Oryctolagus cuniculus: one gene and its partners. The protein of the gene in region 3 purifies or fractionates together with the protein of the main gene of each other region. This does not show direct contact. Links are inferred from orthologs where the notes say so. Each region holds a gene or a part of one and is shown on either strand. Other genes may lie near its edges. The genes, in order: DVL3, HIPK2, AXIN1, LRP6, PPP2R5A, LRP5 and MAP3K1.

The links.
Region 1: the proteins of AXIN1 (region 3) and DVL3 purify together in Homo sapiens (affinity purification with western blotting; 3 studies listed by BioGRID and IntAct, with this or other methods). This does not show direct contact. The link is inferred for Oryctolagus cuniculus from reciprocal best matches to the Homo sapiens genes AXIN1 and DVL3.
Region 2: the proteins of AXIN1 (region 3) and HIPK2 purify together in Homo sapiens (affinity purification with western blotting; 3 studies listed by BioGRID). This does not show direct contact. The link is inferred for Oryctolagus cuniculus from reciprocal best matches to the Homo sapiens genes AXIN1 and HIPK2.
Region 4: the proteins of AXIN1 (region 3) and LRP6 purify together in Homo sapiens (affinity purification with western blotting; 7 studies listed by BioGRID and IntAct, with this or other methods). This does not show direct contact. The link is inferred for Oryctolagus cuniculus from reciprocal best matches to the Homo sapiens genes AXIN1 and LRP6.
Region 5: the proteins of AXIN1 (region 3) and PPP2R5A purify together in Homo sapiens (affinity purification with western blotting; 3 studies listed by BioGRID and IntAct, with this or other methods). This does not show direct contact. The link is inferred for Oryctolagus cuniculus from reciprocal best matches to the Homo sapiens genes AXIN1 and PPP2R5A.
Region 6: the proteins of AXIN1 (region 3) and LRP5 purify together in Homo sapiens (affinity purification with western blotting; 3 studies listed by BioGRID). This does not show direct contact. The link is inferred for Oryctolagus cuniculus from reciprocal best matches to the Homo sapiens genes AXIN1 and LRP5.
Region 7: the proteins of AXIN1 (region 3) and MAP3K1 purify together in Homo sapiens (affinity purification with western blotting; 5 studies listed by BioGRID and IntAct, with this or other methods). This does not show direct contact. The link is inferred for Oryctolagus cuniculus from reciprocal best matches to the Homo sapiens genes AXIN1 and MAP3K1.

What each region holds. Positions count from the first base shown.
Region 1 is NC_091435.1:93,733,808-93,737,911, reverse strand, and holds the start of DVL3 (segment polarity protein dishevelled homolog DVL-3), read right to left. Parts: upstream 2,801-4,104; 5' UTR 2,531-2,800; coding exon 2,370-2,530; intron 1-2,369. UniProt on the Homo sapiens protein: Involved in the signal transduction pathway mediated by multiple Wnt genes.
Region 2 is NC_091434.1:184,453,268-184,456,767, forward strand, and holds part of HIPK2 (homeodomain-interacting protein kinase 2), read left to right. Parts: intron 1-1,686; coding exon 1,687-1,847; intron 1,848-2,434; coding exon 2,435-2,905; 3' UTR 2,906-3,500.
Region 3 is NC_091450.1:34,296,037-34,300,322, reverse strand, and holds the start of AXIN1 (axin-1), read right to left. Parts: upstream 2,801-4,286; 5' UTR 2,730-2,800; coding exon 1,852-2,729; intron 1-1,851. UniProt on the Homo sapiens protein: Component of the beta-catenin destruction complex required for regulating CTNNB1 levels through phosphorylation and ubiquitination, and modulating Wnt-signaling.
Region 4 is NC_091440.1:109,922,250-109,926,528, forward strand, and holds the start of LRP6 (low-density lipoprotein receptor-related protein 6), read right to left. Parts: upstream 2,801-4,279; 5' UTR 2,716-2,800; coding exon 2,661-2,715; intron 1-2,660. UniProt on the Homo sapiens protein: Component of the Wnt-Fzd-LRP5-LRP6 complex that triggers beta-catenin signaling through inducing aggregation of receptor-ligand complexes into ribosome-sized signalosomes.
Region 5 is NC_091444.1:26,822,355-26,825,854, reverse strand, and holds part of PPP2R5A (serine/threonine-protein phosphatase 2A 56 kDa regulatory subunit alpha isoform), read right to left. Parts: intron 643-3,500; coding exon 446-642; intron 1-445. UniProt on the Homo sapiens protein: The B regulatory subunit might modulate substrate selectivity and catalytic activity, and might also direct the localization of the catalytic enzyme to a particular subcellular compartment.
Region 6 is NC_091432.1:4,147,557-4,151,056, forward strand, and holds part of LRP5 (low-density lipoprotein receptor-related protein 5), read right to left. Parts: intron 2,718-3,500; coding exon 2,394-2,717; intron 976-2,393; coding exon 776-975; intron 1-775. UniProt on the Homo sapiens protein: Acts as a coreceptor with members of the frizzled family of seven-transmembrane spanning receptors to transduce signal by Wnt proteins.
Region 7 is NC_091445.1:77,490,725-77,494,711, forward strand, and holds the start of MAP3K1 (mitogen-activated protein kinase kinase kinase 1), read left to right. Parts: upstream 1-1,187; 5' UTR 1,188-1,213; coding exon 1,214-1,692; intron 1,693-3,987. UniProt on the Homo sapiens protein: Component of a protein kinase signal transduction cascade. Activates the ERK and JNK kinase pathways by phosphorylation of MAP2K1 and MAP2K4. May phosphorylate the MAPK8/JNK1 kinase.

The DNA of each region.
Region 1 (4,104 bases), on a different chromosome or scaffold from region 3:
CTTCGGATCCAGCTCCCTGCTAATGTGCCTGGGGAAGCAGCAGACGATGGCCTAAATACTTGGCCCCTGCCACACACTTGGGAGACCAGATGAAGCTCCTGGCTCTGGCCAGGCCTAGTCTTGGTGATTGAGCCCATATGGGGAATGAACCAGCTGATGGAAGATCTCTTGGTCTCTGTCTCTTCTAACTCTGTCTTTCAAATAAATAAACCCTTTTTAAAAAAATAATAATCTTACCTGGAATTGCATGACTATGGCTTTAGATTTTGGAGCCAAATTTCTGATGTCTAATCAAGCTCTGCTGCTTACTCGCTGTGTGACCTTGGACAAGTTACTTGAGCTTTCTGTGTTCTCATTTGTAAATAGGATATTATGACCTATTTCATAGGGCTGCTATGAGGATTCAATGAGTGAAAATTTGAACAGCATTAGATCATTGCCTGGCACACTGGAAGGCCCACAAAGTTTGTCAAATAGATGAAACATATATACGCTCCTCAGCCGTCAATCCTCTGTGATAAGACGGCCCTGCCAGGTCTCCTGCTCATTTCCTTCAGGGGATACAAACAAGATCAATCACCTCCACTTCATTTTTAGCATTGTTCTCAACCCTGCTAGCATGGCCAGCTCTGATACCTCACAGAGAGAGGCTGTATGCAAGATGGCTCCAGGTGGCACATGAATAAATGTTGCTCAGTTCAATACTTATCTTTAATGTATTTTATAAAGAAATATACCTAAGAAAACTGGCTCTGTAATTTAATGTCTTTGAGTCAAGCTAAGAAGAATACAGAGTGGACTGACAGTGGACTTAAAGAAAAACAGTAAGGAAACAGTGAGCAGGGAGTCCCAGGCTATGGCTGCAGTTAGGGAAAGGGAGAGGCAGCCCCCAGAGTCTAAGCTTCAGAGGCGGGGTCGGTGAAGGGTGGAAACACAGGCCTAGCCTAGTTCCTCCAGGCATCTGGCCCTGTGCACTGGACTCTGGCTGCTTTCCCCCAATCCTGTATCCCAAGGTGGCATCCAGGTCTCTTCCAACCCCAGTCCTTTCTTGCCAGGCTAAGGCACCCAGCCCTTAGCCCCTACTCCTTCCAGATTAATCCCTCAGAATCTACTCATCAGGGGTGTCTGACACCAGACAATCATTACCACACCAGGAGTACCCCACCCCAGGGCAGGAGCACCAACAACACAAACAAGAGTGAGCCCCACACTTCCCACTGTACACAACACTTTCACGCACACACTTCCAGGGGCTCCTCACACCCTGAGTTCCAGGGCAGAAGGTGACAGCCAAACATGCCAGACAGACACAGAGGGTGCGTGCTTCCTGGGGCTCCCAGGGCCAGGGCCCTGGGAGGGCAGCCAGACTGACGAACAGTGGGGACAAGAATGCCTCCCCTCACTCAGCTCTGGGGCCCCAGGCTAGGGCTGAAGAGGCCGCCGCTGTGAGGCCCAGGGCCCAGTAAGTGTGGGGCAGGCTAGTGTGGGGGCCTCCCCCTCCCCCAGTCCCCAGGGAGTTGGGAGGGGGTGTGTGAGGGGATCAGCCAGGCTCCCCCTCCCAGGCCAGCTGCTAAGAACCTTTCTCCAACATTCCATCCCCTCTTAAAGGGGAAGTGGTTGCTTCCAAACTCTGTGGGTCCAGAGCCCTGCAGCAGGAGGAGCCGCCACCAGGGAGGGGGACAAACACCATGAGCTCTTCCTGGCCCTGCCATCCAGGTTCTGAGGCCCTTCCCAAAGTCCACCTTGGCCACGGCGGGACAGGAAAGGCCCCAGTGCCCAGGGATCAGCACCTGGGTTAGTGAGGACTGCTCCTCAGGGGTCAGGCACTCTGTTCCCTTGGCAATCCCCGAACTGCCCGCGGGCCAGAGGGGAGACAGCTAAATAAACATCAGGTCTACAGGCCCAGCTCCCAGCCTGGCGCCGAGCATCCCCCAACGCCCCCTCCCCCAGTTCAAAGTCCCACGGCGGGGCCCTCAGATGCAGGATACTCCAAATATGGGGAAGGCGAAGGCCGAGTGCCCAACACCCAACACCCCAAGTCTGCACTAAAAAGGTGGCTCCCTTGCAGGACGGCGCTGGGGGACCAAGGCTTTGGAATTGGGTGTGCGGGGGTGTGTCCCTCCGTGTGGTCTCTGAGGAGGTGGGGGGGGGGCTCGACGGGCAGAAATGGGCTCTGGGAGAGGGGACGTCCCCCCAAACTAGGAAACCAAGATTCCCCCCCCCCCGAGAGGTGAACGGGGAGTGTCCAGAGCGGCCCGAACCCCGGCCTTTGAGAAAGCCAGGGGGTCGCTCGCTGGAAGCCAGGGTGACGCGGGGAAAGCCGGGGGAGTTGAGGCCGGCCCCCGAGGCAAGGCGGGGGCCACGCTCACCCGAAATCGTCGTCCATAGACTTGAAGAAGAACTTGTAGCTGGGTCGCTGCAGGACGCCCTTAAAGTCCGCCAAGGTGACGCGCTCGGCGGGCAGGGGCAGCTTCACCAGGTACGGCGTCTCCTGCCCGTCCAGGTGGTAGATGATCTTAGTCTCGCCCATGGCCCCGGCTCGGGCCCGGCGGCCCGCGCGCGGCCTGCTCGGGCGGCCGGGCCGGGCCTCTCGGGCGGCGGCGGCGGCGGCGGCGGCGTTCGGCGCGGCCCAGCGGCTCAGCCCAGCTCGGCGGCCGGCCGCGGCGCCAGCTCCCTTGTTCTCCCGGCGCTCCCGGGTCCCAGCGCCGCCCGCCGCGGCCGCAGCCGCCGCTTCCGCCCCCCGCTCCCCCGGCTGGGCTGGCGACCGCGACTCTTCCGGTGGCCGCGGCCCGCCGGGCTCGGCGCTGCGGCCCGGCCGCCTCCCCTCCCCCGGCCCCGGCGTGGCCCCGCCCCGGCACGGCCCCGCCCCCCGCCGCCGCAGCCGCCGAGCGGCGCGGCCAGAGCGGCAGATGGCCGGCCCCGGCGGACTCCCTGGCCTCCGTGACCCCGACCGCGCGGCGGCTCCCGGGCCCCAGGCCCCCGGGGCGGAGGGGCGGATCTCTCGGGACTGCCGCGTCCCGGGCTCCCGCTGGAGCGGACCGGCGGTCCTCGCTGCCCTGCCCGAGAGGGCTGGAATGCAGGGGGCGCTTTGGGCTCCGGAGATGGTCTGGGGGAGGGGGTGGACCTGACTGGATCGCGGGAGGACATTATCTCAGCGTGGCCCTCCAGGGTCCGCTGAGGAGCCCCGCCGCGGTGACTGAGCTCCCTGAGGGCCTGACGGTCCCGGGATTCTGACGTCTCCTCAGAACCTCAGCGTCTGGGAGCAAAGTAGTGGCTTAGGTGAATGGATTGCATGAAGAATGAGCCTATGCGTGCATCACTGGGCCAGTCAGCCTCGAGTGGGAGCTAGGTATAATCGGTTCCTAACAGGCCTCCTCATCCCTTGGCTTTTAATTAACGTAATACATTTCGAGTGCGTACTAAGGGCAAGACATGGAGATAGAGCAGTAGCATCCAGGGCCTTCACTCACCTGCCAGGAAGCACCGAGGCTTGGAAATGAATAATTTCTTAGTGACAAATGCTATGGAAAGATACAATGGGGTACTGTGATAGTGACAGGAACAGGAGGACTCTGGGTAGTCAGAGAAGGCCTTTTGCATTTGAGTCAAGACCTAAAAATAACAAGCAGGAAGCGGCCATGGGATGGGGGCAAGAGTATTCCATGGCCACTTAGAAAAGCTCAAGGCAGGAAGAAGCTTAACTCGCGTGAGGAGCAAGAAGGCGACTGTGCCTAGAGGGACTAGGTGAAGCTAGAAAGGTAGGCAGGGCGAGATCACACGCAGGGAGATCACAGGCGGCAGTACGGACACTTTGTACACTTTGCCAAGTTAGCAAGCAGCACTTTCACTCACCTCTTCCACTGGGAAACCTCTCCACATTCCATAATGCTTTCCCAATATCCTTAACATTCATATGATCCTGGATATATATTTATTTGAAATGCAGGGGAGGAGAAGGGGAGGGAACAGGAAAGAGAGAGAAAGATCTTCCATCTGCTGGTTCATTCCCCAAATGCCTACAATAACCAGGATTGGGCCAGGTCAAAGACAAGAGGCCAGAACCCCATCCATGTCTCCAAATATTTGAGCCATCATTTGCTGCCT
Region 2 (3,500 bases), on a different chromosome or scaffold from region 3:
ATTAATATTTAGCACCCGCTGCCCCTGGAATGGCCAGATCGCCAGTTTAGCGCTGACTGCCACGGGATACCTGCTGACACTGCTCTAGGCTTCTGTTTTCCTCCGAGACGCTCAGGCCCCGCGTCCACCGCTGTGAAATGTGACCTGTCTCGGGGTATTCTGCGACCCATCCTTGCCACTTCTCCTTGCGGGTCACTTTGCAGGGTCTTCTCTTGAATGCCTCCTTGGGCACCCTCCTCAAAAGCATGTGTCAGAGCTGGGGAGTGTGCAGCAGCTGTCTGTGCGTGGGGAGCGCCCCAGATCCCCTGTGCCCCATGACCGTGTGACCTCGACTTGGTTTCTCATCTGGCTGTGCTAGACACAGGTTCTCGAGAATATTGGGTTTCTAGAGATGCCTCCAAGGGGGCCAGCATTCTGCATCCCAAGTGCTGTGGTCCCACCTGTGCCCGCCCCATGGAGTCCCCGCTGCTGGGGGCCGGCAGGCACAGACCACTCAATGCCAGAACTGACCGACAAGAGTTATTTCACAGAAATGTCTGTGCCCTCTCGTTGTCATTCCACAAAAGGCCCGCAAAATCAAAACCCTAAGTTCCTGTGCAAAGACGCAGTCTCCCCTGTGTCGGCCTGGTGCTGTTGCTGCAGCTGTCCCGGTGGTTGGCCTCCGGTGCAGGGCTCTGGCCAGCCCTCTGGGTGCACTGATCTGAAATTTCACTCCAGACCCCCTCCTGTAGACAGGGCTCTGACCGGCCTGTGGCCGAAAGCCTGCGTGAGCATTGGCTGGTGCTGGCGGCAGACTGGGCGAGCAGCAGGCCACTCCACATCGGCCCACCTGACTCTTGGACACGTGACCCTGCCAGTGGGCAGTTAGCTCTGAACTCGGCGTGTGGTGGCCCATCAGCCCCCTGTCTGCATGACCTACGCTCCCTCATTCCCACCCTCAGCCTTCTCTCGGCCGCTCCTGAGACACGGCAGGACCTCAGGAAGTAGTTGTGGGATGGGTTAAAACAGCCTCTGAAGGGGCCTGGCAGGACCTCTAGGAGCCATCCTACCTGCAGTGTCACCCGGCTGCTCAGGGCCCACCCACCAGCAGTGTCAGCAGCACCCCAGGCGCCTGTTAGAGTGCAAGCTGTGGAGCCCCCTGCTGGCAAGGAGCCCCGCGTCTTTCCACCTGGGGCCTCTTGCGTGTAGCCCGGGAAGAGCCCTCGTGTTTGGCCATGCTCGGCCCTCATGCCTTTCCCCGCTGACTACGTCTCATCCAAGAGACCAGACCGGGGGCTCCGAGGGGCCGTTGCAGCCACTGTTGCTCACCTTGGTTGCTCCTAGGCACAGTCTGCAGTACCTGCACAAGGGCAATACCTGCCGAGGGCACTAACAGGAGTCCCTCCAGCCGCCTCCCAGATGCTGGAGGCCACGTGGCCAGGGAGGGCCAGCATCAGCCCCCCCCCCCCCCGGCTGTCATCTCTCTCTGCTTCTCCTGCACCTGTCCCCTCTTTCTTAGCTTTATCCCCTCATTTGCAGCCTTGGCCACCCTCTAGACCAAGGGCTAGACAGCTACAACCCAGCTGCCCACGCAGAGTGAAGGCCAAGTCCTAGCTGAGTCTGGGGAAGCTGAGGCCAGGGTTGGCCTGGCCAGTGTGGGCGTCCTGGAGAGCCCTGACCTGTGACCTCCTCTTCCTCCCGCCACAGCAAACACCAGTCACCACGCGTCCTCCTACAAGCCCAAGTCCTCCAGCAACGTGACCTCCACCAGCGGTCACTCTTCAGGGAGCTCCTCTGGAGCCATCGCCTACCGACAGCAGCGGCCAGGCCCCCACTTCCAGCAGCAGCAACCCCTCAATCTCAGCCAGGTGAGTCCCTGCCTGATGGCCGGCGGCCCCCACGGCAGACCCTCACACCCCACAGAGAGCGGCACGGGGCGGAGGCTGCCCCGGCAGGGTCGCTCGTGGGGAAGCTGACAGCACTGGTGCGTGGGTCGCACAGTGCTGCCTCACCGTGGCAAAGCACTCGTGACTTGGTGCCGAGCTTAGACTAGGAGCCCACAGAAGGCTGCCTCCCCCAGCAGAGGCAAGACACCAACCAGGGAGAGCCCTGCTGTGCACCTCACTGCGGGGCGGGGCGGGGTGGGGGGGGGACACACTCCAGAGACCCACCCAACCTAGGGCAGGAGAGTCCTAGCCTCAGCCATGTGTCCCAGCAGCTTAGCTTCTCCAGGTAGGAGACAGTTGATGGAACTGCCCATGGCAGCGTTTCCGAGGGCGCAGGCTTCCTGCCCGGGGACCCCAGCCGGTGAGGGGCAGGCCTGCTTGCTCCACCCAGTGCAGGCTCATCTTCACTCGCTCCATATCCCAAGGCCAGCACCCCTGTCCCTCCTCCACTCCCGGCCTCCCCCGTGTACCCCCTCACGCCGCCCTCTCTGGGTGCCTCTGCTCCGCAGGCTCAGCAGCACGTCACCACGGACCGCGCCGGGAGCCACCGACGGCAGCAGGCCTACATCGCTCCCACCATGGCTCAGGCACCCTACTCCTTCCCGCACAACAGCCCCAGCCATGGCACTGTCCACCCCCACCTGGCCGCCGCCGCAGCTGCCGCCCACCTGCCCGCCCAGCCCCACCTCTACACCTACACAGCGCCTGCTGCCCTGGGCTCCACCGGCACCGTGGCCCACCTGGTGGCCTCCCAAGGCTCGGCGCGCCACACCGTGCAGCACACTGCCTACCCGGCCAGCATCGTGCACCAGGTCCCCGTGAGCATGGGCCCCCGGGTCCTGCCCTCTCCTACCATCCACCCCAGCCAGTATCCAGCCCAGTTCACCCACCAGACCTACATCAGCGCCTCTCCAGCCTCCACCGTCTACACTGGATACCCACTTAGCCCTGCCAAGGTCAACCAGTACCCTTACATATAAGCACTGGAGGGTGGGGGAGGAGACGGCGGAGAGGGCGGGAGGAGGGGTGGGGGAGGAGACGGGGCCAGAGAGGGCGGGGAGGAGGGTGGCCAGAGCTCCTGGGACCGAGGAGGGAGCTGGCTTTTTATGCTGAAGACACCGCACACAAACAATGCAAATGGGAGGGGGCGGGGACTGGGACGGACGCAAAGGAAACTTGAACCAGGAAGTGAGGAGGACTTAGAGCAGAGAAGAGAACATTTTAAAAAGGAAGGGATCAAGGAGGGGGAAATCTATGCTTTTTATTTTAAAAAAGAAAAAAGAAAAAAAAATGTTGGCAACAAAAAAACACAGCTCATGCACCCACTCTGCACCAAACTGGAAAGGAGAAGAGAGCCACAGGAAGATCCCAGAGGGGCCCAGTGTGGGGAGAACTTTTATCTATGAACTTTTCAAAGATTATTTTCATACGACGGCAAGTGGCATTGAAGAACTTGCTGTCAGGGACACCTGCTGTGCAAATCCAATAGATTTTTAATTAACTGAACATACGAATTAGGGATTTTTCCAGAACTCTAAGAGTCGACACCCCCTCCAGAATGAGGAGGCTGACATT
Region 3 (4,286 bases):
TGGTCCACGTGCTTGGCCCCTGCACCCATGTGGGAGACCAGGATGAGACTCCCGGCTCCTGACTCAGCTCACCTAGTTCTGGTAGTTGTGGACACGTGAGGAGTGAACCAGCAGACGGAAGATCTCTCTCTCCCTCTCTATCTCTGACTTTCAAATAAATAAATCTTCAAAACAAAAAAAGTTTAAACCTTAGAAATGCTTAGTGCTGTTTTATCAGAAAGCAGCCGACTCCTCTGTCCCAGTGCAGAGAGGAGAGCTGGTCCAGTGCACGGCAACTGCACGGGCAGCCGCGACACTAAGGGGCGTGTCCTCCGAGTTCTGTCTAGATCAGCAGGGGCCACCCAAGCTCCAAGCTGTCAACGCTGCGCAGGTGCCAGCTCCTGGGGACAGGGGGGAAGCGCAAGAACTCTGCTCCCAGGAGGAACACACACCAGCAGCAGCCCAACGGCTCCCTGTAATCACGGAGGGTCACGGGAAAAAAGAAAAGCCGCGGTTCCAAAGCTCTAACACTGGGGACGCCCCAGGTGTCCACACAGGCGGGAACAGTCCAGACACCGCGGGTGCCCTCACCCATGGGAGAACACAGGCGGGAACAGTCCAGACACCGTGGGTGCCCTCACCCATGGGAGAACACAGGAGGGAACAGTCCAGACACCCGTGGGTGCCCTCACCCATGGGAGAACACAGGAGGGAACAGTCCAGAGACACCGTGGGTGCCCTCACCCATGGGAGAACACAGGCGGGGACAGTCCAGACACCGTGGGTGCCCTCACCCATGGGAGAACACAGGCGGGGACAGTCCAGACACCGTGGGTGCCCTCACCCATGGGAGAACACAGGCGGGGACAGTCCAGACACCGTGGGTGCCCTCACCCATGGGAGAACAGAGGCGGGAACAGTCCAGACACCGCGGGTGCCCTCACCCATGGGAGAACACAGGAGGGAACAGTCCAAAGACACCCGTGGGTGCCCTCACCCATGGGAGAACACAGGCGGGGACAGTCCAGAGACACCGTGGGTGCCCTCACCCATGGGAGAACACAGGCGGGGACAGTCCAGACACCGTGGGTGCCCTCACCCATGGGAGAACACAGGCGGGGACAGTCCAGACACCGTGGGTGCCCTCACCCATGGGAGAACACAGGCGGGGACAGTCCAGACACCGTGGGTGCCCTCACCCATGGGAGAACACAGGCGGGGACAGTCCAGACACCCGTGGGTGCCCTCACCCATGGGAGAACACAGGCGGGAACAGTCCAGACACCGTGGGTGCCCTCACCCATGGGAGAACAGCCAAGGTCACCCCCTGGGTACTGTGAACTCTGCGCCTCCCAGCAGCACTGCCATGTCAGGCAGGCAGAGATCTGACCCTGCGGCTCCAGCCACAGCTGCAGAAGTCTTCAGAGGACCTGGCAACCCCCCACACAAAGGTCTCAGCACTGTTCCTGGCCTCTAGGGAGCACCTCAGCACGCCACTATCGCGGGGAATGATCCAGAATTCCCCAGCTACCAGTGCATTCAGACGGCCACTCCTCCCTTTACCAAGCCGAAGCACGAGACCCACCCGGTAAGCCCCCAGGACTTCAGAGCGGTGGGTCTCAGTGCAGGTGTCAGCAGTAGTGCTCACGACCTCCACACCCAGGCTTCTTATCTGTTCTTGATCAAGGCGTTCTGGACAACACGACCATAAAAACCGCTACTGAACGTGCAAGTACCACGCGTCAGAATCAGAGTCCTAAGTCAGCCCCAAGGGCAGCCGGGCACTCAGCCCACTGGTCGCCCACACCTTGCCCTTGCCCGCTCTCCAGGTCTCAGGCGAGGACCGAAAAGGGACACCTGGTGCCCACTCACCTGAACTCTCTGCCTTCGCTGTACCGTCTCCCTGAGGAGGCCCTCGGGGCAGCCGTCTCCATGAGCAGCTTCTGGGTGAGCCTGCTGGGAGGCGCCGCGTCCCGCGCTTCCTCCTCGTCCGTGTCCTGGTCACACTTCCACTCCTCGTCTTCATTCAGAGTGGGCAGGTATCCAGACAGGCCCTTCCCTGTGCCTGACCCAGAGCTCTGGTCACTACAGACCTTTGGGCTCTCCGAGCCTGTCCTCGTGTACTCCAAATAAATGTCAGACTTGAGGAAGGAGGGGTAGGTGTTCTCCTCCATGGTGGCCTGGATCTCCGTCTGGGCCTGGTCGAACATGGCGGGGTCGACCTGCTGCCTCACGATGCAGTCCTTGATGAAGCTCTTGGTGGCCGGCTTGGTGTGCCTGGACACGATGCCAGTGCTGTCCAGGATGTACTTGCGGTAGATGGCTCTAGCCAGCTTCAGCCTCTTCTCCTCATTCGCATCGCAGGGCTCCAGCTTCCTGAAGCCACTGCAGGCAAACCAGAAGTCCAGAAGGTCAGCACAGCCCTCCTGCTTGAGGAAAGTCCTGAACAGGCTGATCCCGTCTTGATCGTCCAGCAGGGAGTGCAGGGACTCGGCCCACTTCAAGTATGGCGGCGTGGGAGACGCACTGCCCTCGGGCTCATACCCCAGGTCCAGATCCGAGCGCCTTGGAGTAGCCGTCGAAGTCTCAGCTTTAACGCCAGCAGCTTTGCCGGAGCAGAAGCTGTGGCTGGCGGGCCTCGGGTCTGTGGACACCAGTTCTCCCTCCTCCCCAGGCACCGGGGGCCGGGGGGCATCTTCGGTGAAACTTGCTCCGAGGTCCAGGGGGAAACCCTGCTCCTGGACGCTCATCGTGGGACTCTGTGCGGCAAGCGACAGCGAGCGCCGCCCCCTAAAGCATCCGTGCTCGCAGCTCGCGGTGAGTCAGGCCGTCCTGCGGGAACCAGAGAGGACGCGGGTTAGGAAAAGGTGGGCCCCCGCACACACGGCCGAGGGGCTCCCTCCAGACGAGACTGGCGATGACCCAAAGCCAGAAAGTCCGTGTACAGTTGAAACGGAGACACATTTTGGCCGCAAGGTTTGCTCCACATCAAAACAATCCCTGCAGACTCCTACAACCACAGGAACGCTTCTCATGCCAAGGGAGCACCCAGAGCACAGAGAACGCACTGCCTCCAGCAGCACTCTGAGCACCGCAGAGGCCCTCCGAGCGGGCCGAAGAGCTGAGTGAGCAGGAGGGCAGGAAGGCCGGTGGGGGGGGGGGGGGGGCTTTCAGGTGAGAGCTGGTCCCTCACACACCCGGGACAGTCACCCCAGTCAGACGACACGCAGATGAGAGGGGGAGCCCCGACACCCACTGCGGGGAGGCCGCTCTGGCTCCCACACCGGCCAGGCCCACAGCCAGGGTTCCTGCCTCCTGTTTCACCTCACACACGGGGGCCGTGCAGCACGTGCGAACAGACCGCAGGAGCAGCCGACCGGGGGTCACCTTCAGCACCACGAACCCGGGGATGGAAAACACCCCCCACGCACAGAGCAGCCTTCCCCACGCGGCCTCTCTCCTAAAAGACGCACTCAAGAGGCAGAGGGACAAGCAGGCAGAGGGCTCCCCTCTGCTGATTCACTCCTCAAACGCCCACAACGGCGGGGCCGGGGCCGGGGCCCGGCTGAAGCCAGAAGCTGGGGATTCAATCCAGTCTCCCACATGGACGGAAGGACACAACCTGGCACAACACTTGCTACCTCCCAGCGTCTGCGAAGACAGGAAGCTGGAATCAGAACTGGAGCTGGGAACAAGCAGACGCTCTGACACAGGACACCAGGCCATGTCTGCCCAGGAAATGCCCTCCTGACAGCAAACGGTACCCAGGGACCTCCGGGACAGAAACGATTTAGAAAAAAATGAAAGGCAAATGCAACTGCACTGCTAAGGAACCATGCAACTCACAGGACAACTCTAGAGCAACACCAAGCACTCAGCCCCTTGGAGGCCGGGGAACTGCGAGTTTTGGGTGCTGCGCCCACAAGGGACACGCAGACTTTGCTAGATCATGACACAGTCAGGACTCTGCCACGGTCTCTGGCCCTTCCTGCCATGCCCCTCTCAGCCCCACAGAGACCATGCACCTGGCAATAATGCCTCTCGGCTTAGCCAAGGCACTGACTGCAACACAGCCCGGCACAATGTAATCAGTTCTGGCTAAAAGTTAGCTGGAGAGGGGCTGGCACTGTGGCGCAGCTGGTAAAGCCGCCACCTGCAGTGCCAGCATCCCATGTGGGTGCCAGTTCAAGTCCCGGCTGCCCCACTTCCGGTCCAGCTCTCTGCTGTGGCCTGGGAAAGCAGTGGAAGATGCCCTAAGTGCTTGGGCCCCTGCACCTGTGTGGGAGACCTAGAAGAAGCTCCTGGCT
Region 4 (4,279 bases), on a different chromosome or scaffold from region 3:
GTAAATTCATCAGGTAGCTATCATCAGCCACATTTTACAGGTAAAGAATCTGGGGCTCAGAGAAGTTTGCTATGAAGTAGTAAAGTTTGGGCTTTTAACCTAAGATTTTGGTATTGAAAAATATCCCCAAATGTTTCCACTACACCTCATCACCTCATCATCCAATGGTAGGAACAGGACACAGCCTGGGAAATAATATTCCCTGGATTTCAGCTACTTACAAAACAGGGCTACAAGAACAAAAAGTCTCCCAAGCTCTTTCTTACACAATCCATCACATACCCAATGGTAAAGCTCCAACTCTTCTGTGAGGAAAAATGACCTTGATGAAACAAACTAGTCACACTTTTCTCCTTGGAGTCCAAGGCTGACTAAATATCATTTTTGTATCTGTAGATGACATTATCAAGGAAGGAAGACAATCTAAATTATGACCACTTCACATCAAACATAATTTTAGTTCAAGTAACAAGCACACACTGCTAAATGCTGGTAAACAGAAAAGACCACCTCATACCATTATGATGCTACAACATAAAATGAGCTCCACTTCTTAAACTATCACCTCTTCTAGGTCTTGCTACACAATATAATACTTCAAAACATTTCTCCAAATGCAACCTCTCTCAACTCCAATGAACACATCCAACTCTGGGCTCAAACCTGGTGTTAAAATAAATTAGTAGCATTTACATCACACTCTTCCCCTCCAAGAAATACAACTGGGCAACCAGAAGAACCCCCAGGTTATGGGTTTAGACTTCCCCAAGACTCCTGTAACCATCTGGCATTCTTTGGTTAATTCTATTAGCCTTCTGTCTTAAAATATATGTGCACAGGGGCCGGTGCCAAGGCTCACTTGGTTAATCCTCCACCTGCGACGCCAGCATCCCATATGGGTGCTGGGTTCTAGTCCCGGCTGCTCCGCTTCTAGTCCAGCTCTCTGCTGTGGCCCGAAAAGGCAGTGGTGGACGGCCCAAGTGCTTAGGCCCCTGAACCCCGTGGGAGACCAGGAGGAAGCGCCTGGCTCCTGGCTTCGGATCTGCGTAGCGGCCTTTTGAGGGGGGTGAACCAAGGAAGGAAGACTTTTTCTCTCTCACTGTCTAACTCTATCTATCAAATAATATATATATATATGCACAGCCCTATGACACATACGATTGTTTCTCACAGTTACAGCTGTGAAACTTTCAACAGTGACTGTAACAGTAAAGTACAGATACTATACTGATTATAACGCCCAAGTACATAACATAAAATTGCATTACATTCTCTGGGGTTTACCTGTGGAAATGGACCGTCTGGATTAAGTGTTAATCGTTAAGGATAAATGTAACACGCAATCCTAATAGTGGTGCAGAAGAGTAAAGAAAATATCCCTTCTACATCAAAAAGGTCAGTTCCTGTCACCCAAAAATACATCCACACATGCGCACAGAAACGACGCATCTGTCACATTTCTAACACAAGATCGTTGATTACTGTCATGTGCTGTACCTGGTAAGTTTGGGAGGGCTTCACACAACTTGTCTGTTACATCAGTAGCTAGAAAACCTCCAGAGACCTCACACCTGCGAAGACCTGACCAGGACCACGAGCCAGAATTTTAACAAAACCACAACTACCACACTTTGGACTTTAAATTCCTCCGCTGGGAGCTGCTGAAGAGCCCGGGACTCCTCTCCACAAGTTTTGAGAAGAGCTGTGCAAAACTTGCGGACCAGCCCAAACCCAGTTCACACACGAGAAGTCACAGCCAGCGTGTCAGCACTGCAGGGCAATGCAACACATCCCGGGACCCCGGAATGGAAGCGACTCCCGGAGTAAATTACCCAGTCTGTGTTATTTACCCAAGTACCAAGTAATCCCCCACCCCCACCCCCACCCCCGGGGTGGGGTGGGGGTGCGCAGCAAATGACCATCCAGGTCCCAGGACTGGGGCCTCCGCATGCAAGCACAACTTTCCCACTCGCTGCTGCCAACTCCGCAAATACCAGGGCTTCCCAGAGCCACGTCGGTCTCGGAGCACGGGCCGCCGCTCGGGTGATCCCTACGCTGCCACGCTTGCCCTATAACCCCGGAGTCACTTTTCCAACTGTGCCCTCGCCCGGGATCGTCCCAGCCCAAGCGGAAGCCAAATGATCAGTAGCAACCAAGGCCTGGAAAAATCGCCAAGAGGGCTTAGAAAGTTCACCTGAGAGATCGGGGGAAGGTGGGGGTTTCCAGGGCGCATCTCGGACTCCCCACGTTTTTGGTTTTTGTTTGTTTTTTTAAGCCGAACTCGGAGCAAAGCCCCTTTCCCCTGAGGACGCCCGGCGGCCGGAGGCGCACACTCAGTCATTCCGCCAGAGCCGGCGGCCAGCGCTTCCCCGAGACAGGCAGCCCGGAGGGACGCGCAGCTTTGTCCACGCCGAGGTCTGCAAGGCCGGGCTGGGGTCTGGATCGTGGCCGGGCGGAGCGCACAGCCCCTGCGCCCGGGCCCCTTTCTCTCGCTCCTTCCCCACGACCAGGCCTCTCGGCGCTCCTCTTCCCCTCTCCTCCTCCCTCGCTCCCCTCCCCCCCAGACACACAAAACAAGGCCACCTCCCCCCACCCCCAAATCCCACCAACTTTCCAGGGCGCCCCCCCCCCCAGCCCCGCGCCGCGCGCGCTCTGCCCACCTCTCAGGAGCACGCAGAAACTGCAGGCCAGGAGGCTCCTCAGCACGGCCCCCATCTTCCCGGCTCGCGTTCTCTCCTCTCACCGGCGAGAGGCGACCAGATGAGGGGGAGGCGAGGAGCCGGGGCGGCCGCCGCAGCGGCAGAGCTGCGCGATCATGCTCCCCGGCTTCCCCGAGACAGAAGAAGAAAGAAAGAGGCACGTCAAGGCTCCGCGCGCGCCGCCGCCGCCGCCGCCCTCTCTACCGCGCCGCTCTGCCCCGGGCTCGCGCGACGCCAGCGTCTGCTCCCATCCCGCCGCCTCCTCCCCCGGCGCCCCACTTCCCCCGCGCAGCTCCTCATTCAGCCTCTTCCTCTCGCGCAGCGGCGCAGGGATACGGCCGCCCGCCGTCGCCAAGGGTCGCCGTGGAGGTCTCCCTGCGCGCGGCCGAGCCCCCCTCCCGCGGCGCCGCTTCCCGCGCACTTGGGCAAAGAAGAGGAAAACCGCGCGTTCGGCCTCCGCGGCGAGACCCCGGGAGATGCGTGGGGCGAGCAGAGGCGAGCGGCTCCAGGAAAGGCTGCCGGGCCGCGCATTCCGATGGGATTCTTTCCCGGGCTGGCCGCCTCGGCCCTCCCCGCGGAGGGCGTGAGGCGACGTCGAACAACATTGGAGCCGGCGTGGTCGGGACTACTTTCTGCGGCTCGGCCGGGCCGCCCCCGGCCCCGGTCTTTGTGCGGCGGACGCCGGACGAGCCAGGTGGAGCTCCCGGGGTGCGGCGGCCGCCAGCGGGGCCTGCGAGGTGCGGGGGGCCGGCGAGCGGGTCCACGCTCCAGGAGCCACGGCGGAGTCCCTCACGGGGTAATGCACTCGGTCTTCGGGGTTGGAAATCAGTTTGAACACCTTTTTTTTTTTTTTAAGGAAAATAAAAACCAACGCTGGTCACACCAGCTTTAAACGTGGATCTGCTGAGGTAGGTTCACATGCCAAGGCCGAAGTGCAATTCTTGTTTTCCTCCTGCCTTCCCAGAGACACCTGCTCCCCGAGTGAAGGCCGGCAAGACGTAAAAATGTGTAAACTGGAGGAGTAAAATTTCCAAGACGAGTGCATGGGCACCTAAGCCTGCAAAAGGGACAGTTGGACAAAGCTGAGTTTGCATTTAATAATGTGTGATTGGCACGCTTTGATGGTCGAGGCTCAGAAGGAAGAGATCCCCCAGCGCTTCGGCTTTTGCACAGCCTCTGGCTTCTCCCAGTGCACAGAGCCGTTGGGGAGCAGGGGCGTAGACACCCCTTGAAATCCCCCCAACACCCCGACAGTCAGGTGCCTTCTGTGCAGCTGTCACCCACCCTTCCCAGAAGGCAGCCGGGCCAGGAAATGCAGTCACTCCCGGGATCTTGCTCACACCCCAGAGACACTGGAGTTCACCTAGTGCCGGCACGTGCACGATCAGGTTTGAGGCTCGAAACATCCTGGGATGCGCAGGTGTTGACGCTTAGTGTCTTCATTGCACCCAGAAGGAAAGTAAGCTGAGAGGTCCGGTGACTTACCCAAGGCCGCTCAGGCAGGGACCTGAACCCAACCCGGGTCAGTGACTTCAGACACTGCCCGCCCAGGAAACACATGCTGGGGTCGAGGCCAGGCA
Region 5 (3,500 bases), on a different chromosome or scaffold from region 3:
CTATGGAACAGCCAGGACTCCAATTAGCGCCCATACAGGATGCCAGCACTGCAGGTGGTAGCTTTACCTGCTATGCCACAGCGCTAGCCCCAGCTACTTCTTAAATTGGAAACCCCCAGAGTTTTTCCCAGAACTATCATTTCCACTTAAAAATTCTCTCTCAGTGACTATTCTATTCACTCCCATGATATTAATTACCAACCCATATAATCTGAAGTATATATCTTTCCCCTAAGCTCCAGCTCTGTACTGTGTAATATGGGAACCACTAGCCATTGGCTATTGGATTCTCAAACTCTTGCTAAGCAATGAAAGCATCAGTGGAACTGATGATAACCTTTCATGTGAGCTGTTATACTATTATATATTAACAGTCTTATTAATTCATAATTACACCTCAAATATTACTTGACTTTGTAGGAGAAACATAAATCCAGAAGCTTACCATTTTTACTATAGCAGAGTATGCTGATTCAACAAGTACACCACGATTAGTGGAAACATACTCAACCAATTCATTCAACGTTGCTCTTTTAATTTCTTTGCTCCTCAAGTCTGAAACAGAGTCCATGAAATCGAATAGTACACAACACTGCTGCAACTTCTGACAAAAAAGCTCTTGCTGTTCATTTGAAGTGGCATCTATAAAAAAAAAACATAAAAATAATTTACTCAGAAGTTACCTTTATTTAGTAACTTTTCATAAGTTATTTATACACAAAAAATAAAACTTCAGAAGTCTAGTGACAATGTACCCATCTAACACTGTTATTTAGGGACTTACAGTAGACTCTTCAAATTATATCATTCAATGCTATTAAAATAGTCTAAACTATCTGGAATCTATCTTGTTCTTCTAATTTCCACTGCTCTCATCATCCCTAACTGTCTTAATTGTCCCTTTTGCCTGGTCCCATGACCACTACCTCTCCTGATTTATCCTATCCTCCAAACTATTTAAAAAGCTGAAGTCTTGCTAAAATGAGAATCAACAGAATCATATTAGATCTTCTCAATGATCCTTCAATAATTAGAGACTGAAGTTCAAACTCCTCTGAACTGTACACACAAGTGTAGCTGCTACTGTCGTGAGTCCCTTCTGAGTTCATCCCAGCATGCTTCTCACCCTGGTTAACCTGTACTCCCTGCAATTCTCTGAAGATCGTACATTGTTTCCTCTGCATAAAATATGCCCTTCTGCCCACAGTGCCACCCTGGGAACTCATTTATCACATTGCAGGGAAAGTCCCTTCTTAGAAATTTTTGTTTTGGTCCTGAAACTACATTGGCTGGTTAATCCACTTCTGCCCAAATGTATTTTAGGCACATAGCTCTATTTAGTATTTATTGTGCTACATGCCATTTATATTTCACATATCTGATAAACCATGAGACTCTGAAAAATAGGAACCAAGTGTTACTTATCTAATTCACATCCCCCCCACCCCCCTTCTCTCTTTACTTAACCAGAGCCTGGCTCACAACAGGCATTCAACAAATGCTTTACCTTCTTGTTTCCACCATACAAAAATAAATAAATAACAAAACTTCAAATTTGAACTTTTCAAATCCATAAACTAGGACCTTCAATTAGGTCAATTACTTAAGTTTCTTGAACTACTGATATTTTTAAAGTCACAATGATATTTAGTTCATAATCTGCTCATAAACTATTCCATTTTTTAAAAAGATTTATTTATTTTAAAGACAGAGTTACAGAGAGATAGAGAGAGAGAGAGGTCTTCCCTCTGCTGGTTCACCCCTCAAATGGTCGCAATGGCCGGAGCTGAGCTAACTGGAAGCCAGGAGCCAGGAGCTTCTTCCCGGTCTCCCATGTCTCCCAAGGACTCATACTCTGCTGCTTTCCCAAGCCCATTAGCAGGAAGCTGGATCAGAAGTGGAGTAGCAAGGACTCGAACCAGCACCCATATGGGATGCCAGCACTGCAGACAAGGGCTTTAACCCGCTGTGCCACAGCATCAGCCCTTATTGTTCCATTTAAAACCAGTACCTACTTTATATAAAGATACAGGTAGAAATCTACAGAAACATAACCGGGGCTGGTGGTGTGGCACAATGATGCTGGTTTCAGTTCCGACTGCTCCAACGCCAATCCAGCTCTCTAATGCTCTTGGGAAAGCAGCAGAAGATAGCCCAAGGACTTGGGCCCCTGCACCCATGTGGGAAACCTGAAAGAAGCTCCTGGCTCCTGGCTTTGGCTCCTGTCTCTGCTGCAGCCATTTGGGGAGTGAACCAGAGGAAGGAAGATCTGTCTGTCTCTCTATATATAATTCTGACTTTCAGATAAGTAAATAAGTATTTTTAAAAGTTGTTTTAAAAAATGACAACCTACCCAAGGAGGCCTGTGCTCATATTTCTCTGGTGCAGAAAACTACTAAAGTTACTCTGCAACTATTTAAGTTGCTGTCCTTAAAAAGCTGATTTAGTTAAGCTATTCCTTAAATGTAACAGTTCAAATATTCTATGCCCCTTCACTGATAGATGACAAATACAGTATATTTTCATTGGTCAACTCTACCGATAATTTAAAACATAAGTTTTACAGTAAAACATATATTGAAATATTGTAAAGGGCAGTAAAATTCACATGAATTTTGAAATAAAAATATGAAGACTCTAAATAAGTTCTTATTTGTGACTATGCAGTAAAAACTTCTTGTTTAACATTTTGTTCCAGAATCATTAATAGTTCTCTGTGCTACACAAAGCTGAGGTCTACAATTCTAAGATCAGTATTCAGAATCTACATAACATTGGCAGATATGACATTTTTTACTATGATTCTGGCTAAGTTTTTGATTTAGGGTCACCTTCTATGGAACTGTTCTGAAGTAGGAACATTTTGATATATCTTTTCTTTTAAAAAGACTATTAAACTTTAAGCTTTTTAAAAAAGATTTATTTGAAAAGCAGAGTTGGTGAGAGGAAGAGACAGAGATCTTCCATCTGCTAGTTCACTCCCCAAATGACTGCATGGCCAAGCTGAAGCCAGGAGCATCATTGTTCAGGTCTCCCATGTGAGTACTGGCCGTCGTTTGCTGCTTGGCCCATCTGCTGCTTTCTCAGGTACATTGGTGGAAGCTGGATTGGAAGTGGATGAGCTGGGACTCAAACCAGCACCAATACGGGATGCTAGCATTGCAGACAGCAGCTCAATCTGCTATGCCAAAATGCTGCCCCGTGCTGCTGTTTTTAATATCAACTAATGTGTTAAACAATTATCTGTAAATTAAATTTCATTCTATTGGGGATGTGAATGAAACACCATGTAATAAACACACTATGTCATGTGTTCACTATTCTAGTTCCCACTCAAAAGACAATCAAGTCACTCTAAGCAGAATCTGCTTGTTCTCTGCTAATCTGTGTCTTGAATGGTTTTTCTTAAATCTTCTGAATTTCCCCCCAATTTAAAGGTGAAATAATTATATGCATTTAACTTTACTTAATAAATGATGTTCCCTAATACTGGTACTAGT
Region 6 (3,500 bases), on a different chromosome or scaffold from region 3:
CAGAAACGTGCATGAGGCAGCCCCGCACTGCCACAGCAAACCCCCAAGGAGCCAGCTTTCCTGCGAGGGCAGGTCAACGGTCAGCTCACAGTGAGGGGGTTCCAGGCCAAGACCACACAGCCCCATCAGCACGGCCTCCAGTGAGGGCAGCGGCACGCACGGAGGACGGGGCAGAGAGGGGCCAATCCCAAACTCGGGCTCCATGAGGACCCTCTGCAGAGCTCGAGGGGCCACACCCCACGACCTGAGGCCCCCCTCCAGGGCCCCTCCCAAAGGCTCGGCCGTCTGGGGTGAGCGCCATCCTGGGCCCCGGGCCTCTGGCACAGCAGGCCGTGGCGGACACTCCACCTGCTCAGCAGACACCGGAAACCACCCAGAAACCAGGAACGGGCAACGGAAGCAAGCTTCCCGCGGCACAGGCCTGCGCCGGGCGCTCCACGGACGGGGGACCCTTTGCTTCTGGGGTTTTGAGCGCTGTGCCCCAGCACTGCTTCTCCCATGAGCCCTGCGTGCTGTCGGCACAGAGCACCGACGCACAGGCTCACGGGAGAGTGGACCACGAGATAAAGGATAAATGGGCGTGACCAACAGCACCCACGCCCACGCAGGCACGGTCGCCCTGCACAGGGGGTCTCCCCCGGGCTTGGCCAGGCCCAGGGTCCCACACGGCTCAGGATGGCACCTGCCAGTGACGTTACCGTTCACCCTGACCAGGGCCAGGCTGCACAGGGGGCGGCGGCCAGGGGTCTCCCCACGGAAGCGGCGGTGCACTTGCCTGGGTGCCGTCGTCCTTGGCGCGCCTGATGGTCTGGCGCCCGTCCACCCAGTAGATGAACCTGTCCAGCGGGTCGTAGTCGATGGCGCGGACGTTCCGCAGCCCGTGCAGGGGCAGGACGAGGTCCGGGCTGCGCTGGTCGTCCGGGATCATCCGGCTGATGGCACATTTCTGGCTGAACAGCAAGAAGGCGGTGGGCGCTGGAGCAAAGCAAAGAGACCAGTGGGCGGCACGTTGGCGCCCGCAGGCTGCAGGGGACGCGGCCAGGACAGGCAGATGGACGGACAGGCGGAAGGACGGACGGGTGGATGGACAGACGGACAGCTGGCCTCCCTCCCGCTGGACTCTGAAAAGCACACCCGCACCTGCACGGCTGGATGTCCGCGGAGGAAGACCACAGGACAAAGGCTGTGCCCCCCCGTTGTGTGCAAGGGCAGGTGTCAGCTCTGAACCGGGGACGGCATTTACCATTAGAACTCAGGACCAAAGGAAAGGAATGGCAGCGAAGCCCCCACTCAGAGCCATGAACACGTGTGTCACCCACGAGTAGCCTGCGGTCCACCCACGCACGCCCATGTGGGCGGCTGACGGCACCAGGAGGGGACGGGCCTCGGGGAGTGGGGCCGGTGAGCCGCAGATAACGGGACAGCAGGGAGCCGCGTGCCGACGCCTGGAAGCCCAGTAAGGCGCAGTCTCCCTGCGGCCCTGGGTCTTGGTTTTCAAGGGAGCTGGGGCCTGGGGGCGCCCGGAGCTGTTCCTGGGCCTCCTCAGAGTGACACGGGGACACAAAGAACCTGCTTCCCAGGGCCCCTCCTTCACGGCGGAACGGGTCCAGACAGGAGCCCTTGTGGCCTGGTGCAGACATGGCACTCGGCCCGCGTGGAGGCCACCCCAGGGCACGCGTCCTGAAATCCAAAGTGTCATCCCAGGTCTGCCGGCCGCGGAGAGGGAACCCAGGTGACAACATCTGCTCCTGGCCCTGGCACGGCCTCCTGAGCCCCCAGGCTCACCCCCGGGAGGGCCATGAGCAGCGGGGTCACGGGGAACCGGGCTGCAGGGAGCCAGGCCCAGCGCCGGCCAGCTCAGGGCTTGCACGAGCCCAGGGCAGAGAGGGCCCGGGTGACGCCACGCTGTGAGAACTGTGGCCTGCGGCGCGGAGCTGAGCTACGGACACTGCAGCTGTCACAGCAGTACCCACAGCAGGGACACAGGAAGTCACCCCTGGCTCCTGAATGTCCCTGTTCTTATCACTGTAGAAGAACAAGATGCCCCCCCACACACACACACACAGAGGCCACTAGGAGACGGCATGGCCGCCCAGAGCCAGCCCGAGCCCAGCTGTGTGGCCTTGAGCAGGTGACCGCACCGCTCTGTGCCTGGGGCTCCTTGTCTGGGAATAAGCAGGGGCCGGGGGAGTCCCTCGCTGAATGCATGGAACAGTGCAGAGCGCCCCCTAGAGGTAGGTTTTCACATCCAGAGATGCCTCACAGACCCCATAGCTCGGCCGAGGCCACCAGGCAGCTCCACCGACTCTGTGTAGCGCACGACCTGCTCAGCCATCCCCGTGCACCCGGCTGAGGAGCCCCACGGCCCGGCTGCTGCAGGGGCAGGCACTCACGGCTGCAGTTGTGGGTGCTGGGGTCCAGGGTGTAGTGCGAGGCGCAGCCGCAGCGGCGGCCCCCAGGGATGGCGAGGCACAGCTGCCCGCACTGCCCATTGCCAGGCACGCAGTCGTTCAGGCCGTCCTGCCGCGATGAGTGGAACACCAGGATGTCCATCACAAAGTCCAGCTGGCCCTGGATGAGGGTGCGGTTGCGGCCGCTGGTCTTGTCGGCCCGCTCGATGCTGTGCAGGTTCCAGTCGGTCCAGTAGATGTAGTCGCTGTACTGCGTGAGGCCGAAGGGGTGCGGGAGGTCGTCGGCGATCACGACCCGCCCCTGACCTGCGGGGAGACCGCCCACCCCCGCGGTGTCAGCACGGCCCGGCCGCGGCACCCACGGGCTCACCCGCAGCCGAGCCTCCCCGCCAGGGGCCTGCACGCATGGCACCGTCCCCAGTGCCAAGTCCTACAGAGAGCCGCAGGCCAGCAACCACCCAGACGCCGGCCCCCAGGGGCCCCCCAGGGGGTCTTCACGTGACAGAAGTGGCCCAGGAACAGAAACCACAGCCCACGGGCCAGGTGGGAGCAGCAGGACACAAAACAGCACCTGCCATAGGACATGCTTCTAGAAGGTTCTGTGACAGCAAAGCTTATCCACCCAGACAGCACCAGAGGCAGTGACGGGCCGAGGTGGCTGCTGGGACACGTGGGGAGGAGCTGGGGGCTGGGAGCAGGGGCGGGGGCGCCAGAGCCGCCCCCCGTCTCTGAAGGAGCCACCTGTGCCGTGCTCCTTCAGCGCTCTGAGCTTGGCCGGCTGCACGGCACTGGAAAATCCCATTTTAACAAACCAAGCTCTGGGGTCCCCCAGCCTGGGCCACCCGGCTCCCCACTCCTGAGCACGTGGCCGTGGGAAAGCCCTGTCCATCAATGCCCGCATCTGTAACACCAGCATCCCCTGGGCGCTGGCTCAAGTCCCAGCTGCTCCACTTCCGATCCAGCTCTCTGCTGTGGTCTGGGAAAGCAGTAGAAAATGGTACAAGTGCTTGGGCCCCTGCACCCGCGTGGGAGACCCAGAGGTGGCTCCTGGCTCCTGGCTTTGGATCAGCTCAGCTCCAGCCTTTGTGG
Region 7 (3,987 bases), on a different chromosome or scaffold from region 3:
AGACGGTTCAGGTATAGCTGTATACGAAGACCAGCACGAAGGCTCCCTCGTCTCTACGCGAGGGCAGCTCCCTCTCCGATGCTTCCATTAACTACTCCGCACAATAAATCTAGAGACGCTGCTCCTGGGAGATTGCCCAGCGCAGACGAGAGGGGACAGAAACGCGACGCAGAGCTCTGTCGGGGGAAAAAAAAAATAGGGGTGTGGGGGGGTAGGCGTCTAAAACCGCTAACACGCAAAGGTGAGCTTCTCCGCGGAGGCTCCCAGGGCCCGCGGGGCGGAGGGGACCCCGGCGGCCGCCCGGTCCCGCCGGCGAGAGAGACGTGCGGCGAGCGGCGTCGCAGCCGCCGAGGGCCGGGCGCCGGCCGCGGGTGACAGGAGCGCGCACTTCCTGGCACGGCGCTGGTTCCTGCCCCCAGACGCGCTCGGAGCGGCTCGAGGCCGAGCGAGACAGCGGCAGGGACCCCCGCCGCTCGGGGTCTCCCTCGCGCCCGGCGGTGTCAGGAGGTGGACAAGGTGTTACGGGCAGCTCTCGTGTTCGTCCCTGGGAACGGCGCGGTGGGGCAGGGGACCTGAGGGGAGGCACTCTTGTCTTTAAGCCGAAACACAACTTGAGCTTTTCGGGCCGCAGCACCCCGGGTTTGCTTTCGCTTTGCAGCGTGCGACAGCCCCGGGCACCACCTGCGCCACCTCCGGAGCGGAGCCGCGGCAGGGTCTGGGGGTAGGGGGAGGCCGGTCTGCGCCCGAGTTCCCCGACGCTCACAGCCAGGGGCCGTGCGGCTGACGGACCGCACCCCCGAGTTCCAGTGCATTGATTTCTGTAGCGAGCTCCGGGCAAGCCGGGGCGAGACCGCGGCGCGAGGCTCCTCCTGTCGCCGGTGCGGCCCGCACTACCTGGCAGCGCCGCGGGGGCAACGCGCACAGCCCAGAGCGCCCCCGCAGCCGACACCGCCGAGCCCACGCAGCCCGCCCGCGCGGGGCCGAGCGCAACGCCCGCTCCTTCCCACCTGCGGCCGCCGCCTCCGCCACCGTCGCGGGCCAGTCCGCACGCCCGTCACCCAGGCCGGGCGCCCGGCGGGCGGCGCTCACGCAGTTGGCGCAGCGGCCCTACGCCGGCGGCGCAGCGCCCGCCCGTCCGTCCGCCCGCCCCCTGCGCTCTCCCCGCCCCCTCCCTCCCTCGCAGGGGCCGAGCGAATGTAGCCCGCGAGAGAAAATGGCGGCGGCGGCGGGGAATCGCGCCTCGTCGTCGGGATTCCCGGGCGCCAGGGCGGCGAGCCCCGAGGCGGGCGGCGGCGGAGGGGCCCTCAAGGCGGGCAGCGCGCCCGTGGCAGCCGCGGGGCTGCTGCGGGAGACGGGCAGCGCGGGCCGCGAGCGGGCGGACTGGCGGCGGCGGCAGCTGCGCAAAGTGCGGAGTGTGGAGCTGGACCAGCTGCCCGAGCCGCCGCTCTTCTTCGGCGCCTCGCCGCCGTCCTCTTCCACGTCTCCGTCTCCGGAGCCCTCGGACGCAGCGGCGGGTGCGAGCGGCTTCCAGCCGGTGGCGGTGCCGCCGCCTCACGGAGCGGCAGGCGGCGGCGCCCACCCTGCCGAGCCGGCGGCCGCGCCGGACACAGGCGCCCCGAGCCCCGCGGGGGCCGAGCCCGGGGAGAAGCGGGCGCCCGCCGCAGAGCAGCCTCCTGCAGTGGCCCCCGCTGGGTGAGCAGCGCGGCGGGGACTTGGGGGGGCGGGCGGACGGGCAATGAATGAACCCCGGGCGGCGCGCACGGCGTCCTGGGGCTCGGCGCAGCGGGACCGCGCGCTGCTCGCCGGGACCTGCGCCCCCAAACTCCCCCGACCCCCTCTGGAGGCGGGCGGCGCCCCAGAACCCCGGCTGGGGCACGGGACGGGGGCGTGCGGGAGTTTGTTATTGTTTGCAGACATGTGACAGGCGTGCGAGCCGCGCTGCGGGGACCCGTGGCGAAAAGGTGTGGGGGGCCCCCCGGCTGGCTTTGTGGGGCTGCCGAGGTCGGGGCTCTCCGAGGAGCCAGGGCGCGGCGTCCCGAGGCCAAGCCGAGGGGGCGGGGAGAAGGCCGGCCGCGGCGCCCCAAAACGGTGTCCCCGGGGCGGGGGGCTTGGGGGGCGAGGCCCCATCGTGCTGCAGGGTGGGTGGGGAGCCCAAGGTCGGGGCTGGTGGGGGCAGAGAGGCAGGGCCGAGGAGAAAGCGGCAGGTCCCCGGGGACGTGACAGGCAGCGCCCCGCGGCCCGCCGGGGGCCTGGAGTCTCAGGGCAGGTACTGGGAGCCGGTCCCGGGCGCGGTGCACGGCCCGGTAACCCCTGTCAAAGCGCTGCTCCACGGACTGCAGGCTCGTGGGCGCTTGCAGCCTTGCAGGACGTGCGGGTTTTCGAACCTCGTCCCCCAGGGGTCTGTGGGTGCTCTTCGGGAATGCAAAGTTGCACCGCGAAGACGCGAGGGATCCCTGCTCGGAGTTTGAATGTGGCCTTTGAAGTTTGCGTTCGGCGGAGTGGTGCCGGAGCCAGGACCGGATGTGTCAGCCATTCAGTTTGAAAGCGGCGGTGACGGCTCCCCAGTCCCTCCGGCGTGGCCCCGGGGCCGCGGCGCGGGCGCGGTGCTTCCTGCTCCGCGCGGCTGCGGGGCTGCCCGCAGTTCTGGGGCGCCGGTGTTGCGGGCTGCGGCTCGGGGAAGCCCTCCGCTGCGTGTCTGGAAGGTCATTGGGACCCGCTGTGCTTTGGCCTCGCCCTGCTTTGGCTCCTGCAAAGTGTGTGTGTGTAAGATGATTGTGAGTGTGACAGCCGTAATCCTTGATCGTGGTCACAGGAATCTGACTAGTGTGTGCAGAGCGCGAAGTCTTGCAGGAAATGTTTTTGTGACAGTCGCTCGTCGCCCTTTGGAATTCTGGAACTTGGTGATGGGAATGAAGTGTGTTTTATTGTGAGGAGTTTGACAGTGGGAATCTGTGGTTTTGCTTAGATATCTAAAGCCAGTGGCACTTTTTGTGCCTTTGGTCAGTTCTTTAAAATCAGTTTATTATGTGGATGTGCCCCCCCCCAAAGAAACCTTAAAACTATGCTCAGCGCCATACCATGGCAGTGTTGAGACGGAGGGGAGGTCTGGGACTGGTATTTTTCCGTGTGCACTTGTACGTGTAAATTGGCATTAAAAACATTCCCCTGTACTTTCCTGTTTCTATGTGGATTAGATTCAAACTTAACTAGTATCACTCTTTGAAGGCAGTTGTTACTGCAAGTGAACTTTTTAATCCCCAGTTTGAGAGATTAATTTTACCTAATTTCATGAGACCTAGGTTTTCGGATAAATAATCTGGCAAACATCAGCCCTCTATTCACTTTCATGAGCTGTAAATGTAGTATAAGAGCAACCAGTGTAAATACAAAACTTGTTTAGTGTCATCCCTTGACACAGACCGAGAAGACTGGGGTGGAAGCAGACAGAATTGAGGAACTGAGTCGTCCATGCTTAATTTTTGGTTTTACAGTGTAGTTATGAAGGCTCCTCCCTTTGTCTAAGAGGTGTGTTATGGCACAGTATGTAAAATAACAGACAAATATGATCTTTTGTTTACTTTTATTAGCCAGAAAGCCGTTGGTTATATGTAAAGATTACATGTTATGTAAAGATTTCATTCTAATAAAATGTTGATTTCTTATACTTTTGAAATATAGTGTTCCCCCCATTTCCTTGACATGAGGATTGAATTTATTTGAATTTATTGGTATAAAACTGATTATGGAGAAATTACTTGGCATTAAATTCTTTTACTTATTTATATTGCATGATTTTATTTATACCATGTGTAGTCTTAGAAAAAATTTTGATGATAAAAATTCAATTAAAATCTCCATTGAACTTTACATTTTTGCTTTTTAGACAGGAATTACATTCATACTTTCAATTCAAAACTCTAACACTGAGATTTTGAAGTATTTTTGTGTTTCAATAATAAAGGTCTGGAAATCCCTTCTGTCTCAAAA